Linked DNA regions of Coturnix japonica. The protein of the gene in region 2 purifies or fractionates together with the protein of the main gene of each other region. This does not show direct contact. Links are inferred from orthologs where the notes say so. Each region holds a gene or a part of one and is shown on either strand. Other genes may lie near its edges.

What was found.
Region 1: the proteins of BMP2K (region 2) and REPS1 purify together in Homo sapiens (affinity purification with mass spectrometry; 3 studies listed by BioGRID and IntAct, counting the BioPlex papers as one, with this or other methods). This does not show direct contact. The link is inferred for Coturnix japonica from reciprocal best matches to the Homo sapiens genes BMP2K and REPS1.

Annotation. Positions count from the first base shown.
Region 1 is NC_029518.1:48,977,875-48,985,349, reverse strand, and holds part of REPS1 (ralBP1-associated Eps domain-containing protein 1), read right to left. Parts: intron 4,782-7,475; coding exon 4,660-4,781; intron 541-4,659; coding exon 460-540; intron 1-459. UniProt on the Homo sapiens protein: May coordinate the cellular actions of activated EGF receptors and Ral-GTPases.
Region 2 is NC_029519.1:39,916,818-39,924,292, forward strand, and holds part of BMP2K (BMP-2-inducible protein kinase), read left to right. Parts: intron 1-37; coding exon 38-119; intron 120-758; coding exon 759-891; intron 892-1,705; coding exon 1,706-1,809; intron 1,810-2,860; coding exon 2,861-2,940; intron 2,941-4,132; coding exon 4,133-4,293; intron 4,294-5,086; coding exon 5,087-5,265; intron 5,266-5,718; coding exon 5,719-5,814; intron 5,815-6,914; coding exon 6,915-7,102; intron 7,103-7,475. UniProt on the Homo sapiens protein: May be involved in osteoblast differentiation.

The DNA of each region.
Region 1 (7,475 bases), on a different chromosome or scaffold from region 2:
TACATTACATCCATGAAAGTCTGCCAGCTTTTTCAGTTGAGTAGGAGTGTTGCCAGCACCTATGATTTTGTATTTTGCAGCTTGACAAAATACTAAAGATAGATTCTGAAAAAGGGACTAATATATGATTGGGTGTTGCTCTTCAGTTTCCTTACATATTCAAAAAACAGTATGTTTAAATATTTCCTCCAATACAGCTTTTGACAACAGTGTTGCATTAAAATCAAGAAAACAAACATTTGCTGCACTCAGATATTAAATGTGATCAGTACCAGAAAAATTCTATTCCTAAAAATAAGCAAAATAATTAATAAGCTTGTTATCATTCCCCCCCAAACAAGAAAGGAAAAAAAATATAAAAGGAATTCAAGGAATCATGCATAACAGCTACATACAATGAATAGAAATTCAGTGTTAATAAAATTAATTTCAAACAAGCAAGCTAAGTGATTGACTTACAGGATCAGCTGGTGCAATGTTAGAATCAAATTGGGTCAGAGTTTGTGAGCTTGAAGAGCGTTCGCTAAATGTCTCCCACTGCTGAACAGACAGAGGAGAGAAATCAGCATGATGAGAAAGATGGGAGTAAAAGATCACCAAGGAGACTTAGCATAGTAGTTTGGAGGTTGCACTGGAAAGCACTGTATTTGCACTAGGCAGTACTTAGAAGTTATATTAACACATACTGAATCTTTCTATTTTAGTTTGAGACTGCACTGCAACCAAGTTTGTTACCTGTCAGTATTCATCTTTTACATTCATGTTTCATAGTGAAGACAGGTGTACAGTTAAGTCAAATACTTTCAGAGTTCTTGTAAAAGTTACACAAGTATTAAAAAAAACGTTAAGCCAATCAAATATTGTTGAGATTCTGTGCCACACATCTGTGACTGTAAAATCCACAGAGATTCCTCAGCTTTGTAGTTGCCCAGTTTCAAATATATTTGGGAGGCACTGATTTTCTTACAGAATCTCAGACAAATTGACACTGAGCAAAGTGCTCTAATTATACCAGTCCAGCTTGCTAGTGCAACCCCTGAGAAATGATTCTATTCTGTAAGAGTATTTTTACAAGTCTAAATCACTGACATGGGAAAGAATTAAACTCAAACATACCACTGATTGTTAAAAGCAAATTAAGTACAGTTTTTCAAGATATAGGTGAGCTGTATCAATACACAGTTGTCAAGAGTCCTCATGCTTAATAAGTCAAATTACTGTCACAGCTGGATTGATGAAGTAGCAAAATACATAACAGTAATCTGTGATCCAGAAACTAGATAACAAATCACTACAGGATCGTTAAACTTGTATTCTGGCATAATAACAAATATTAGCCAAGTTTCAAACAAGATTTGTAGCACTCAAGAGAGACTAAAATGTTAGTAAGGTCATAAAAACAAATTAATATTCTTGTCCCACATCCGTACGTAAATCAATGTGCATGTTTTCAGATGATACAGGGCACAGTATACTTTGTTAGTCAATCTAATATCATGCACTCTCCTACATGAAACCATACTCAGTGTATGTGTGAGCCATATTCAGGTGCACCGGTTCCTGTAGTGTTTGGAAGGTAACTTTCTGACAGGAGGTGAAGGAGTCAATGAGGAAAGCTATGCTGCTAGACCTTGTTCTTACAAATAAGGACTGGTTGGGACCGTGAAGGCTGGGGCAGCCCTGGATGCAACAAACACGAGACAGTGGAGTTCAAGAACTTAGATGGATGAAAGAAAGCAGTAAGTAGGATTGCAAGGCTGGGCTTTTGGAGAACCAGCTTTGACCTCTTCAGGGACCTACTTGGAGGCATCTGGTGCGTTAGAGCATTGCAAGGTAAGAGGACATTGCAGGTCAAGGGAAGTGATCCTCCCCCTCTCCTCTGCCCTGGCAAGGATATGTCTGAAGTGCTGTGTCCAGCTCTTGGCTCCTCGGTTTGAGAATGAATGGGAACTTCTAGTGGAGGGCCACAAATATTACGGGACTGGAGCACCTCCCGTATGAGGAAAGGCTGAGAGACCTGTGACTGTTCTGCCTGGAGAAGAGAAGACTGAGAGGGGATCTTATGTTTAATTAACATCTAGTGGGCAGGAGTCAAGTGGATGGGGACAGGCTCTTCTCAGTGGTACACAGTGACAGAATGGCTATAAGCACAAATTGGAACACGTGAAGTTCCATACAACATGAGGAAAAACATCTTCACTGTGTGACAGAGCACTGGAACAGACTACCCAAAGGGGTTGTTAAGTCTCCTTCTCTGGAAATATTAAAAACCCACCCAGATGTTCTCCTGTGTAAGCAACTGTAGGGAACCTGCTTTAGCAGGGGGTTGGACTAGATGACCTCCAAAGGTCCCTCCCAACCCTCACAATTCTGTGATCCTGTCAACGGCCCACATGTGAAACTAGCCTAAAGTAGTACTTGAGAAATAGGTCTTCATGGAAATTCCTAAATAATAGTTTTCAGTCAGCCAAAATTAATTAAACATAATCAGAACAAGACTCACTAAAGTATTAAGACCCTTCACGTGTGGTGCTGTTCCTTGAAGAGAAGGAGTCCTATTTTTTAACAAAGGCAAAGGCTATGACGTCATTCAGCTGGTATTTTTCCACAAAACTACTCTTTTCTAGCAAAAATGTAAGCTTTCCCCTTCCTTTTACACAGTTGCTCATTTTATTATTTATTATTTGTCCTTAGGGTCTATAGCTAGACAACAGATGAACATCAACACCTTCTACTAAACCAAGGAATGAGGTGTTAGTGTTTCATTCATCCATCCTGAGATACTACCAGAAACTAGTTTCTTCTAACTTCCTGCTGCATTGTAAGCTACAGTGTCTACTGAGTGGCATCTGAAATGGTAAGATCAAAGAGCAATGACGGTAATACTAATTAGCTAGGATAAATGTCCCATTAGTTGAAAATAAAATACCTGTCTTTGAGACTCACAAAGGTCTCTCAAAGATACCTTAAAAATGTTAATTACTGAAAAGCAGAACTCAGAACAAACTGAACTATTACTGAAAGAACATCTAAATATCTGAAACAGTTGTGAACTCCAAAGACACTATATCTGTGTCAAAGCTAATATGACACCTGCTTTCAATGAAAATTTTATAGGCTTTCCAGTTTTTTAAACTCTTAGAAGTGTGTGCAGCACTGGCACTGAAACTGGAAGGAAAAGGTTTCTGAAGGGAGAAACGAGAGATCGGTAGATTGTAGAGATGGGACTGTTAAGCATGCATCTATCTAACCCAGACAGATTTTTACAAGATTCTTTATTTTGAAGCTCTGACACCTTGGTCCATACTTTGTGAGCTGACACTACCTGAGCTTGAGAACTGGAGTGTAAAAATCAATTGTGAGCTAGAAAAAGCAGAGTAACCCATGTTTTTAAAACTAACTGGGATGCAAATTGCTTGGAGAGGTTGTTCATCCAAAGCCGCATAGCTTTGCAAGCAACTCATTTGTTGATGACAGTTGTAAGAGGCTGAAAGAGGCTACAGACTGCTGCCTGCTGTAAAACCAGAAACTTTTTCACGGCAATAAAACCTTGAGTACTTTGACCTGATTCTTGCTGGAAAGAAAAAGTTGCAAAGCAAGCATGCATAGCAATACAGCTAAGAAATTAGAATAATTGGAACAAAAAGCTCTTAATATTTAACTCCTAGTATAGTTAATGTTTGGTAGTATATTTATCCTGAGAATTTTTCCAAACCTCTTATAACTGAACTGATTTTCAGAAGAAAATATCACATTATCTAGTAGAACAGACAAAGTCAGTTTTGTAAAGAAGATTTTGATTGACAACCAATGATCAGCAACTTTGCACTGCTACTTCACTTCTTCTATTCAACTGGTTTAAACTGCAGATATAGCATCTGTTCAACTATGATGCAGCTTACCAAATCAGGGATCTTCATTGTAAGCATGATGGAATACATCATACAAGTTTAAATATATTTGCAGACATTTTGTCCTTGCTGCAATAACTGACTATCTGTTCACTTGACTGGAAATACATACCTCCTACTAGCAGACTAAGAGTCATTCTGTCAAACAGAACTAAGAATCACTATGCCTTGTATTTTTTTATCTGGTAAAGGCACCACTGTAAGGCTTGTGCTTGTCCTTAAAAGGAAGGATAGACTCTTACCAGGTTCTTCTTCCTGAGAGATGAAGGAAATTTCCTCAGCTTTTAAACTTTAATCATGAAAAAAAAAGTTTTTTCTGTTTAACATCAGTTCTGCTTAGATTTGTCTACATTTCAGAAGCTTACTCTGAAGTTCTGCATAACTTTTGATTGTACAATCCTTCAGAGTTACAAAAGAGAAAGCACCCGGAGAAAGAAAAAAAATCAACTGAAGTTCTCCAATAAGTACGAGAGGAGATCATTTAGGGATGAATATGAAGCTTAATTGCTATTAATGACAACATTTTAAAACTTATCTCACCTACCAATCAGGCAGAAAAATTGGAAAGGTAACACTTTTACAATTTCAAATGTATAGAACCTTCCTGTGTTTTAGTGTCCATTGTCCTCCTTGAGTTTTTGTCAATGCATTCACAATCGGTGATTAACAATCCACTTGTGAATTATATATTTTCACACAATTTAGCTATTGACAGCAGCAATTAAATAACTTGCATTGAAGTGCTAACCTCACTGCTCTGATTCAATTCTGGCCAGGTCTGGTTTAGGGATGGCATTGATGGAGACTTGCTTGGAGGTGCTTCTGCTGGAGAGCTGGAGTAACCAACCTCACCGGTTTGTTCCCCAACTTCTGAAATGAAAGCAATCACTATAAGTCAAATACATGAATTGCATTCACAAACAGCCCTTTTGAGAATAAAGTATCTTACTCTAAAGTACCACACAGTTCCACTTTTTCAAAGAGGAGACAAAACAAACCAATTTGAGTTAAAGATGCTACCCTTATATTGAGAATCTTAGCGTTTTCTTTCACAGCATTTTGCAAACTGAACCAGCTTAACAGCTGTTACCTTGCAAGTGTACGTTGTTATTCTAATTCCAGTTCTCCCTGGGCTTTTAGCAAATAGAATTCCTTGCAGAAAGCCTTCCCTTACAGGAAAGCAAAAACTTGTAAATTTTGTAATGGACTGTTAATTTTTATAAACTGCAATAAAATTGAGTTAGCTGAAAATCATTAACTTTAATCTTCAGAACAGAACTCACAGTAGAGTTCATTTCAGCTGCAGATCTCACATTTCATCAAGACTAGTGCTATTAACACATAAAATACATGTTTAAGGACTTGGAAAGAAGTATCTGTACAACTGACTTCATTATCCTAGTTCAGTGCAGTTTCCTTCTACAGGTTGTTTTCACACAGACATTTGACTTGTTCTGAAAAGCAGACATAACCTACTTAGAAATACCACACCACAATGTCAAATCTTAAGTGGAGCTGCTACAATCCAGAGATTTCTTTGAAGAATATGATCAAATTCAAAATACTAACCCCATTTAAATCTATTGTGGAATTACTACAGTGTTTTAAGAACCTAATGTTTCATTTATTTCCCCAGATCAGCACAAATATAACCACCTCGTTGGAAAATTGTTCTTTTAAAATTCTGTAGGGGTGCAGACAAATGTAATATTGCATAACAGCTCTATGTCACGTGAGAGAAATGCATCTCTGGTCAGAAAAGCAGATGTAAGACAAGACCAACACACTAATGGATTTGAGACACCTGCACTTGGTCACAGATTCATACAAGCAGGAACGGCTACCAGACTATGTGGCAAGAGTCTTCAGTGCCAGTCCAAACAGGACAGTGTTAGACAGAGCACTGTTACTTCTCTTTCTCTTGGCCACTGGTTCAAAATCAAAACAGAAAGGAGACAGCATTGTGAGCACAGAAGTGAAGCGATTAATGAAAGAGTTTCTAACAAAAAAAAAGGACAGAAGTAAATAAGAGCATTGTTTATGGTCTGAAAAAGTTTAAACTTCTATCAAAATAAAGGAAACAAAAATCAAGTAATTGACATTCTAAAAGCAGTCTTAAAGTATGATATGCACAATGCATATCTCCATTGCAGATGCTCCCGTTGAGCAGACAGCCTAACATACACAGTATAACCTGCACATAGACCTATTAGCAACTTATAAATATACATTAAAATAGTAAAATTGGGATTTGGACTGTTGTAATTACAAGCAAAGTTACAGCCAAACCAGTAACCTCCCTTTATATATTTAATTCAATGTACATGTTCTGGTGACAAATCCATGTCAGGTACTAAAGAAGATTAGCTGTTTCCAAAACTAGAGGCCCAGATAAAGAAAAGAAATAAATTAATTGCATAAAACACAAAAAGTTTGCAAGTTATTTCTCACCAATGCCTTTAAAAACATCAGCAGAATCAATTATCTGTTATATTTCTGTACTTTTATTTTTAAGCATAGCATACACAGCATAATAATCTTTCAGTCTTCATCAGAACAAAGCAAAATTCCTTTAAGATAAGAGGGAAAAACATTCACTACTTTTAGAAGTAGTTTTTCTTCACACTTAAAGACTACTCTGTACTTCCTGAAATTTTATCACAGCTGCCCGTGAAATAAAAATGATGCTTTTTAGCTTAATGTCCACTTTATAAAACTTTCAAAGAACTTCAGTTATATGACAAAATCCTCAACACTGTCTATACCAATCAAAGCAGTAGAAAATCAGGTATGGATGTAGGCATTTTCATGGCTATAGTTGTTTTCTTACTCCATTTCCTGACAAGAAGTTGCTTGACAATCACCTTGACATAACAAGAGAGTGGCTAGTTTTTAGATAACTGTGGATACTTCTAATATGTCTTTGCCATAGTAATGTGCTTACTCATACTGAAAACACTACAGTTGATGCTGGCTGCTGCTGAAAGGCTGAGGAGCTGAGTGAAAAAACATTGGTTTAATTATTAAAGCAATGCTACAGTATCTAGTTTAAAAGCTCCTCAATAATAGCCAAGTGAAAGTCTCTGACATCCTACACACACAGTAGGAAGGGATTCCTCCCTATTAAAATATTTAGTAAGAAGATAGAGCTAGAAAGCCACAATACTTGTACACCCACTTGTGCACCTTCCAGAGCCAAGACTGCTTAATGTTCTTTTTTTTCTAGTCATTAAATTCTGCTTTTTTGAAAAATATAGCATAGAGAATACATCAACAACAAATGGCGCCTAAAAATACACTTCCTCTAAACATATGATGGTAAGAGATGGTAAAGTAAAAAGGCTTCAAGTTTTATTAACTAATAAGAATTGAATGACTCAACATCTTCAAGAATGATAACAATGGAATTTTGAGGAATCATTTGTATTTCAAGTTAATTTCAGTACAAGTTAATTTATTTCAAGTTCCACAAAAATTCAATGTTCATTGCAAATATAGTATTTATGAAGCAGATTATAGGTATTCTGCTTCCTTTATCTGTTTGAAGATAAAAATGAAAGATAG
Region 2 (7,475 bases):
GCTTCTCATCTGTTCTCTTGCAATTATGTACATTTAGGTATACAACACTATCGTACAGAGCTCCTGAAATGATCAATCTTTATGGAGGGAAATCCATTACTACCAAGGCAGATATTTGGGTAAGCAAAAAATCAGGTACTGTGAAATACGGAACTAATTAAGAGAGAGAGAAACTAGCTAAAATTAACGTAGACAAACTGGGAAACTAATTATTTAAAATGGAAATATACAGTGCAAGTGTATAATGCAGAGTGTAGTAATGGTATCTGTTGTAGTTAAGTCTCGTGTAAATAAATTGAATACAATATGTGATGTTATGGGAGAGATAAAGTAGACTCCATTTTGTTGGCTCAGAGTCGCCAATGGTTTCTCATAGAAATTTGCTCACAGCTTAACAAGAAAATGTGTTTTTGTTAGACAGTGTGCTTAAGAGCCATTACAGTGAAGTAAGTAAAGACTAAATTCAGCAAAAACACTAGTGGTATCCCTGAGTGATGCCAGAATGTGAATGTAGCCCTTGGGTTAGGCTCTGGTTTTGGTAGTTTGTTGTCTAGCACACAAGTCAGTGGGAAAGAAGGTCCTTTTAGAGATGCATTGTATATCAGCTTGTCACATCAACCCTGGTTCATAATGCAGCTGCTACATAACACTGTAAGCATCAGCTGTAGCTAGGTTGCAATTAGTTTCTTGTTGGTGCTTCTTTATTGTGTAAATGGCTTGCTCTCATCCTTTTATGGGGCCTGTATTTGTTTTTACAGGCACTTGGCTGCTTGCTGTATAAGCTTTGTTTCTTTTCACTTCCCTTTGGAGAAAGTCAAGTTGCTATTTGCGATGGAAGTTTTACTATTCCGGACAATTCCCGATACACTCACAGTATACACTGTTTGATAAGTAAGTATTTGGGCAGCACAGCAATTCTTTGGTGTTGTAAATAAAATGAAACACAAACAGTGCTATTGATGTAGATTAGTGACTTGGGTAGATGGTGCATTCTTGCTTGGATCTTGAGTTAGCAATGGGAGTTGCTCATGGCTACCATCTGCCTTTCAGCTCTTGTAACTTTCCCTTGAAAGTATAGTAGGAAATAAGAAATACCGAATCCAAAGCATGCTTTTGAGCACACATTAATTAGCAGTTACCAAGCATTCTGCAAATGCTCACAAAATGAGAACTAACTTGCTTGATAGATGCCAAATGTTATGCCTGGGGAAAATGTTTAATGGTTACATTCAAAATTCTGTATTTTGTCAGAAAATCCTTGCTGTCTATGCAACTAGATTATTTTTAACATTTAAGCATACGTAACCTACAGATCCTACCAGGCAAAAAGATAGTGTAGGGATTTAGCCTGATATTGGCAGATATATGTGAATCTCCTGTTAGCTGCTCAGAATCTTGCATAACCCTAGAAAATTCCAGTGCTGTTCATGCTTTTTGTTGTTTATTTGAAGTTAGTACTTATGTTATCTATCCTTTCTGCAGCTGATATTCAAAATATCAATCAGTGTGCATCCTTTTCAGTCATATTTGACCCTGAAAACTATTTGACTTGACAAAAAGCATTAAAAAAAGAACAAAATCATTCTTTTTGGAGTAAACTTGGTTGGTAGAGTTAGCTGAATGAATGTGTTCTGGTTGCTAGCAAATTGCATCAGTAGGCTTCTGCTGTCAAACAGTGACAATTTGTTCTTATCAATTTTTGCAGGATATATGCTTGAACCAGATCAAGAACAGAGACCTGATATTTTTCAGGTATCTTACTTTGCCTTTAAACTTGCCAAAAAGGATTGTCCAGTGTCCAATATTAATGTAAGTAGTCTTTCTTTTTTTTTTTCCTTTGCATTCAGGGATTTTCATAGATAGCATTGAGAAAAATCAGTCAAATCAGAGGTGCACTTATTGATGGTCATGAAGGTTTTATAAAAAGGAAATAGTCTGATCTTCCCCCTGCTCGGTGCTGCCAGTAGATCAGGATAAGGTTTGGCTTTACTAGAACTGAATGAATGAAAACTTGAAGCCTTGTAATGCAATGATGACAGCTGGTGCAAGCAAGGAAGGAGTTTTTGAATGCTTTACCTGCTGGTATTTTCATTGAGCACTGAGGGTGGAAAAGGCCAGCTTGATCTTGCACGTGTTGGAAGAGTTAGAGGAGAAGGTAAATTAAAGATGAGCTTACTGTTGTTGTTGAGCCCTGCATCTTAGTGCTTGCTTACTGTTGCTGAGGTGGGGTTATGTTTCCAGTTACTGCTGTGGATGACTTCCAGTGTAATTCAAACACAGTGTGAGAGCTGAGACAGGTAAACTGTGACAGTGTCTCTGGCTAGAGAAATGAGGGCTAGTATGAGAAGAGGAGTGTGCATTTATGACAATGATACATGATTAGGTTGTGATTTGCGGTAAGAGATTAGTTAAAGGAGCATAAAAACTTAGATGCTGCGTTGTTTTGTGAATTTTGCATTGGATTAGAAGAGCGGAATAGACTAAAAAAACTACCACTGTTTCAGTCTGGTTTTTAGCTTTAATTCTTAAACTCATAAATAAAATGAGCCTTTATTCTCTCCAGTTGACAAAAGGTGTATGAAGAAAGTGTGTTACCTCATTGTTGGTAGTTCATGAATGAACTGAAATAGCTGACATGGTAGTGAGTCAGGGCAGCAGCGCTTTCATTTTGTACTTCTTAATAAGTAACAGAAAATAGAAATAGTGTTCAGTAAAAATACTTTCAATCTACAGCCATGTGACAGGGTTCTGCATGAAACCTTGTAGCATCAAGGATTTGAACTCGGTTATTTCTTCTTGATTTGTAATGATTTCTTCAGGAGTTTGTGCTTTTAATTTCTTCACATTTATTTTTCCCCAGAATTCTCCTGTCCCTTCAACTCTTCCTGAGCCTATGACAGCTAGTGAGGCAGCTGCTAGAAAAAGCCAAATAAAAGCAAGGTGAGTAGATGATGTGACTTCACAGTTTTTAATATTATTAAACTGCACATTTGTCTGAAACTCTTTCATTAAAGAAATTATCCAAATAGTTTATTAGAATAGATAAATGACATTTCTAAGTGTTTAAAGTCTGAGTTAAATTTTTTTCAATTATTTTGAGAGTCCACTGATGAGATTTCAATATTCCTTTATACTGATAATTGTTTTAGCTCTGAGTCTACCAATATGTGGCTTAATTACTAAAATTGTTAGCCATAATGATCAGCTCAACTGCAACTTTATTAGCCTTCTGCAAATGAAAAGCAAACCTTTGGGGCTCATCTAAGCCATGTTTGAGCTGTATAGATATAGATATTCTGTTCTAAGGCAGTGATTGGTTTTGTTGGCTCTACTGTCGGTTGGTGACATACAATTAAGGGAAAGTGTTGAGTATTAATGGAATAATGTTTTCAGCTCCACCTGCTAGGCGCTACTGGGAGAGAACCATGAATTTTCCTACTTAAGTTTTTCTAACTACATAAGATACAGAGGTTAAGGCAGAAAACATTTACATATAATTTGCTAAGAACTAGTATAAGGTGTTAGGTACTGGGGCTTAGCTGGTGAATTTGTGTTTTTAAGCAGTTAGGCAATTTTTAAAGAAGCCAATACTGTGACTGGGCAAAGTGGGGTTAAAGCTCCAAAGGACATTTTTTTAATATCTTCCTTATCTGGGAAAACATGATGCAGTGCTAATGTTCTACAGAAAGACACAAATATTTAGGGAGGTTTATGAGCGATAGAACTGCTAGATGGTAAATCTGTCATGAAACCAGGGGTTAATTAACAGATAAGATTAAGAAAAAAAAATCTTACTTTGTGTGTGTACGAGAAGTAACTATCTCTAGTTGCAGGATTGCTGCCTCTAGTTTTCCAGGTAATTTTTATTCACTACTGTGAACTAATGAAAGCTTGCACAGAAATCAGATCTAGTGCTTTATTTGCATGGAGAACAAGGCTGTTGCACTTCAGCAGCAGTCGTATCTCTTATGATTGTGGTGAGAAGAATTGTAGGAAACAAATATTAAGGTATTTAAATTGAGCTCAGAAGTAAACAGCATACGTTTAAGATGAGGTGAGCTGTAAAGAGATGACTATTAATTTGAATACACAGCAGTTACTTTTAATGAAGTCTCGTCTGGAAATGTTTCAGAATAACAGATCCTACTGGACCAACAGAAACCTCAATTGCACCACGACAAAGACCAAAGGCCAATTCAAGCACTGCTGCTTCAAGTGTTCTGACGATCCAGAGTTCAGCAACACCAGTCAAAGTACAAGTTCCTGGTGTATTTGGTAACCGTGGGCAAAAAGGTAATGGACCAACATCTAAGGATTGGATGAAGCAAATGAAACAATCATTCCAAGTTTATTTTCCTCCTTAATCTTTGAACAGTAATCTTTGAAACTTGAAATTAAGTAGGTACAACTTTGTCAAAAAAACCCCAGATCTTCATCCTTTCTGGATGACTCTAAACGTGCAAGTAGTAGGTATTCAAGACACATTGATTTGTGCTTGATTTGATTTAAGAGGCTGCGAAAACAACTGAATGGCAAAACTCAGCAATCTAAAGGATTACATCCAATACTTCTTATGAAGAATGCTTTGAGAGGCATTAATCAGTATTTAAACATGTACTGTGAGAGACTTGTGTTCAGATATTTTATTTACTTGGCTTCCAAGTATGCAAAATCCAAAAGCACTTAACTGCATTCTTTCACTCAAGGATGAATTTGTCAGATTATTTTAATAAGGATATAGACAAAAATGTAATGTCCCAGTTTTGAGTCAGAATAGATGAATGTTGTTTGAGACACTGAAGATAAAAGTGAATTGCTAGGAAAGTGGAACTACTGAAACCAGCTTCCTCAGTAAATGAGAGCAAAGGAAGCTTCTCATGTCTTTGATGTAGACACTGTAGATTAATAAGCCTGCAACTGTCTTCACAGAAGGTGAAATATACAGTAAGCTTAGCATGCAAGATGTCATACTTGGAAGGGGACTATAAACTGTTTTGCCTTGAAGCACTTAATGCCAACTGCCTGGGTAAATGGACAGTTGAAGTTTAGAAATTGGCATGTGAGTAGTATTGTCTAAATATTACAGGAACCCCAAGACCTGGAAATGGTCAAGAAATGTTGCTGTCTCAAGGGACCAATCAGCACCATCCACAGCAGAACAGAGTTCTTCAGCAGCTGCAGCAGGGGGACTGGAGACTACAGCAACTACACCACTTACATCACCAGCAAAAACAACCTACAATTCAGGAGGCTTATGTGCAGCAGGTACAAATCATGTATTTTAAATACATTTCTTAAAGAGCTGTATGTTGTATCTGTTAGCATTTTGAGTCATTTGCTAGTTAAACAATATGACTTGGTTTCTTAATGCTAGGAGAGAGGGAGAAGGATTGTAGCTCTTGCCCTTTCTTTTTAGCTTTGCACATTTGTCTCGTGCCTAGGCATTGCAGTACTTACATGAGGAAGTTGTTTTCTTTGTGCTGTCCTGCCTTTGTTTCTTGACCCAGAATTTCTGCTTGCTTGGAATCAGCGCTTGCTGGCCCAAATAAAGGTTTTGTCTGTGTAAGCATGCTCCAGAGAAACATTTGGGATGATCTAGCTGACAATGGTATGCTCGTAGGAGCTTGCGTAGGGTAGACCCTTTGAGTCTAAATATTTGTGTGTGCTAAATAGGGGAATCATGATTTCAAGACTTTTTTTTTTTCTTTTTGAATATAGTATCAACAAGCAGTGCACCAGCAGGTGATCCAGCAGCAACTGTTGATGCAAGCTGTGTACCAGCAGCAGCCTTCCCAATCTCAGTATCCTGCTATGGTATGTCAACAGTGGGATGTCACTGTCAGTCTTCAGATATGCCCTATGATTGTAAGACACTGTGAAGTTGCAGTAACACAAGTTTTGTGAATAGTTATGAGCTTTGGACTTGGTAAATATCTAAAATGATATTGAGAGGGGAGAAAAAAATGATTCATCCAGCCTTGATTGAGAAAGCTTATCTGGCACTTCAGCATTTAATGTGATGTAGTCTAAGCTTTGATCAGTAAAGTACTAACTGGAAACATACTAAATGCTTTAAGTTTCCAGTGATGACCACCGCAGCAAACAGAAGTTATTGTGCAAAGTGATAAAACCACAGCGGCATCAAATTTGTACTTCAAGCCCAGGATGTCTAATGAGTTAAACCATCTAAGTACCGGTAGCCAGAAACTACTTTTATAGGCACTGTTATGTATGTACAGAGCCATATTGTGCGGCATTTGCTGAGGAAAGCATGCAGAATTTCTGAGTCTTCAAGTAGAATTAAACCAACAAAATACAGTTGGTGTCCTTAGACCACTTCAGTACTTCAGAAAGAAAGAAAAAGGGAGAATCCAGGTTGATTGTCACAAGGAAATAATGTTCTGGAATGATGCAGTTCAACCAAGGTTATACATTATGTTTACAAACCTAACTAGCCCAGAGAAATCTTAGCTATGTATAGTTTCACACTGGAATGTGCAACAGAAAATGAAATTTTTTCAGTTGCCATTAAGCTTTATCATGCTAGTTAGTTTATTTTATTGAGGTTTGCACTGAATGAGCATTTTGTCTGTTGTTGCTTAAAATGGAGAAGTCTTTCAGCGTTTACTTATGAGTGGAATATAAATATTCTTGCATGCCCTTTGTGATGCTGCTGCTGCAGCGTAATAGAAATATACGCATATGTGCTATTTACAGATAAAGCAGGAAAGCTGTGTGGCAGGAGGTGTTCAGAAGTTGGGAGAAAGTTCATGACTTTTGGTTAAGCTGCTGATCTTTTCTGGTGTATGGTTGTTTTTAATGAAGCTGTCTGTGAGGCCAGTGTTGTTACTTAGCATAAGAGCTTCACGTTGACCTGTCTGAATGATAATAATGTGTTTGACTGTCTTATTTAGGTGCAGCAATATCAGCAGGCTCTTATGCAGCAGCAGATGCTTGCTCAGCAACAGCAGCGGTCACAACAGGTGCAATCTCCTGAATATGTTCCTTCTCTACAAGACTTCTCGCCACCCTTAATTTCCTACTCTGCATCACTTCCAGTACATGCTGGAACAGTGGCAGATTCTCCCTATGCTCCAACCAGGCAAGTAATCTGACACAAACATACCAAGGGTTGCTGTTTGCTTTCTGTTGTTAACTGTAATAGGCTCTACCAAATCCTTTTCTTGAAAGTTAATTGCTTCAATCATCACGTATTGCTAAAACTAATAAATAGAAGCTTAGTTAGTGTTAGTGTTAACAGATATTTTAAGTGGCATGAGGGTGGAGAGCAGGATGCATCTCATTTGTAGATGAACCAAATCAAACTTTAACTTGTTTTTTTCTTGTTCATGGACTTCTTCCAAGAAACAAACTGCTAATCACCTTGCTTTGGGTGGTCAGCAGCACATAATTAATGAAGCAGTTAATATGACACTCAACAGACACTAATTTTTACAACTTTCTGTTCTTTAATC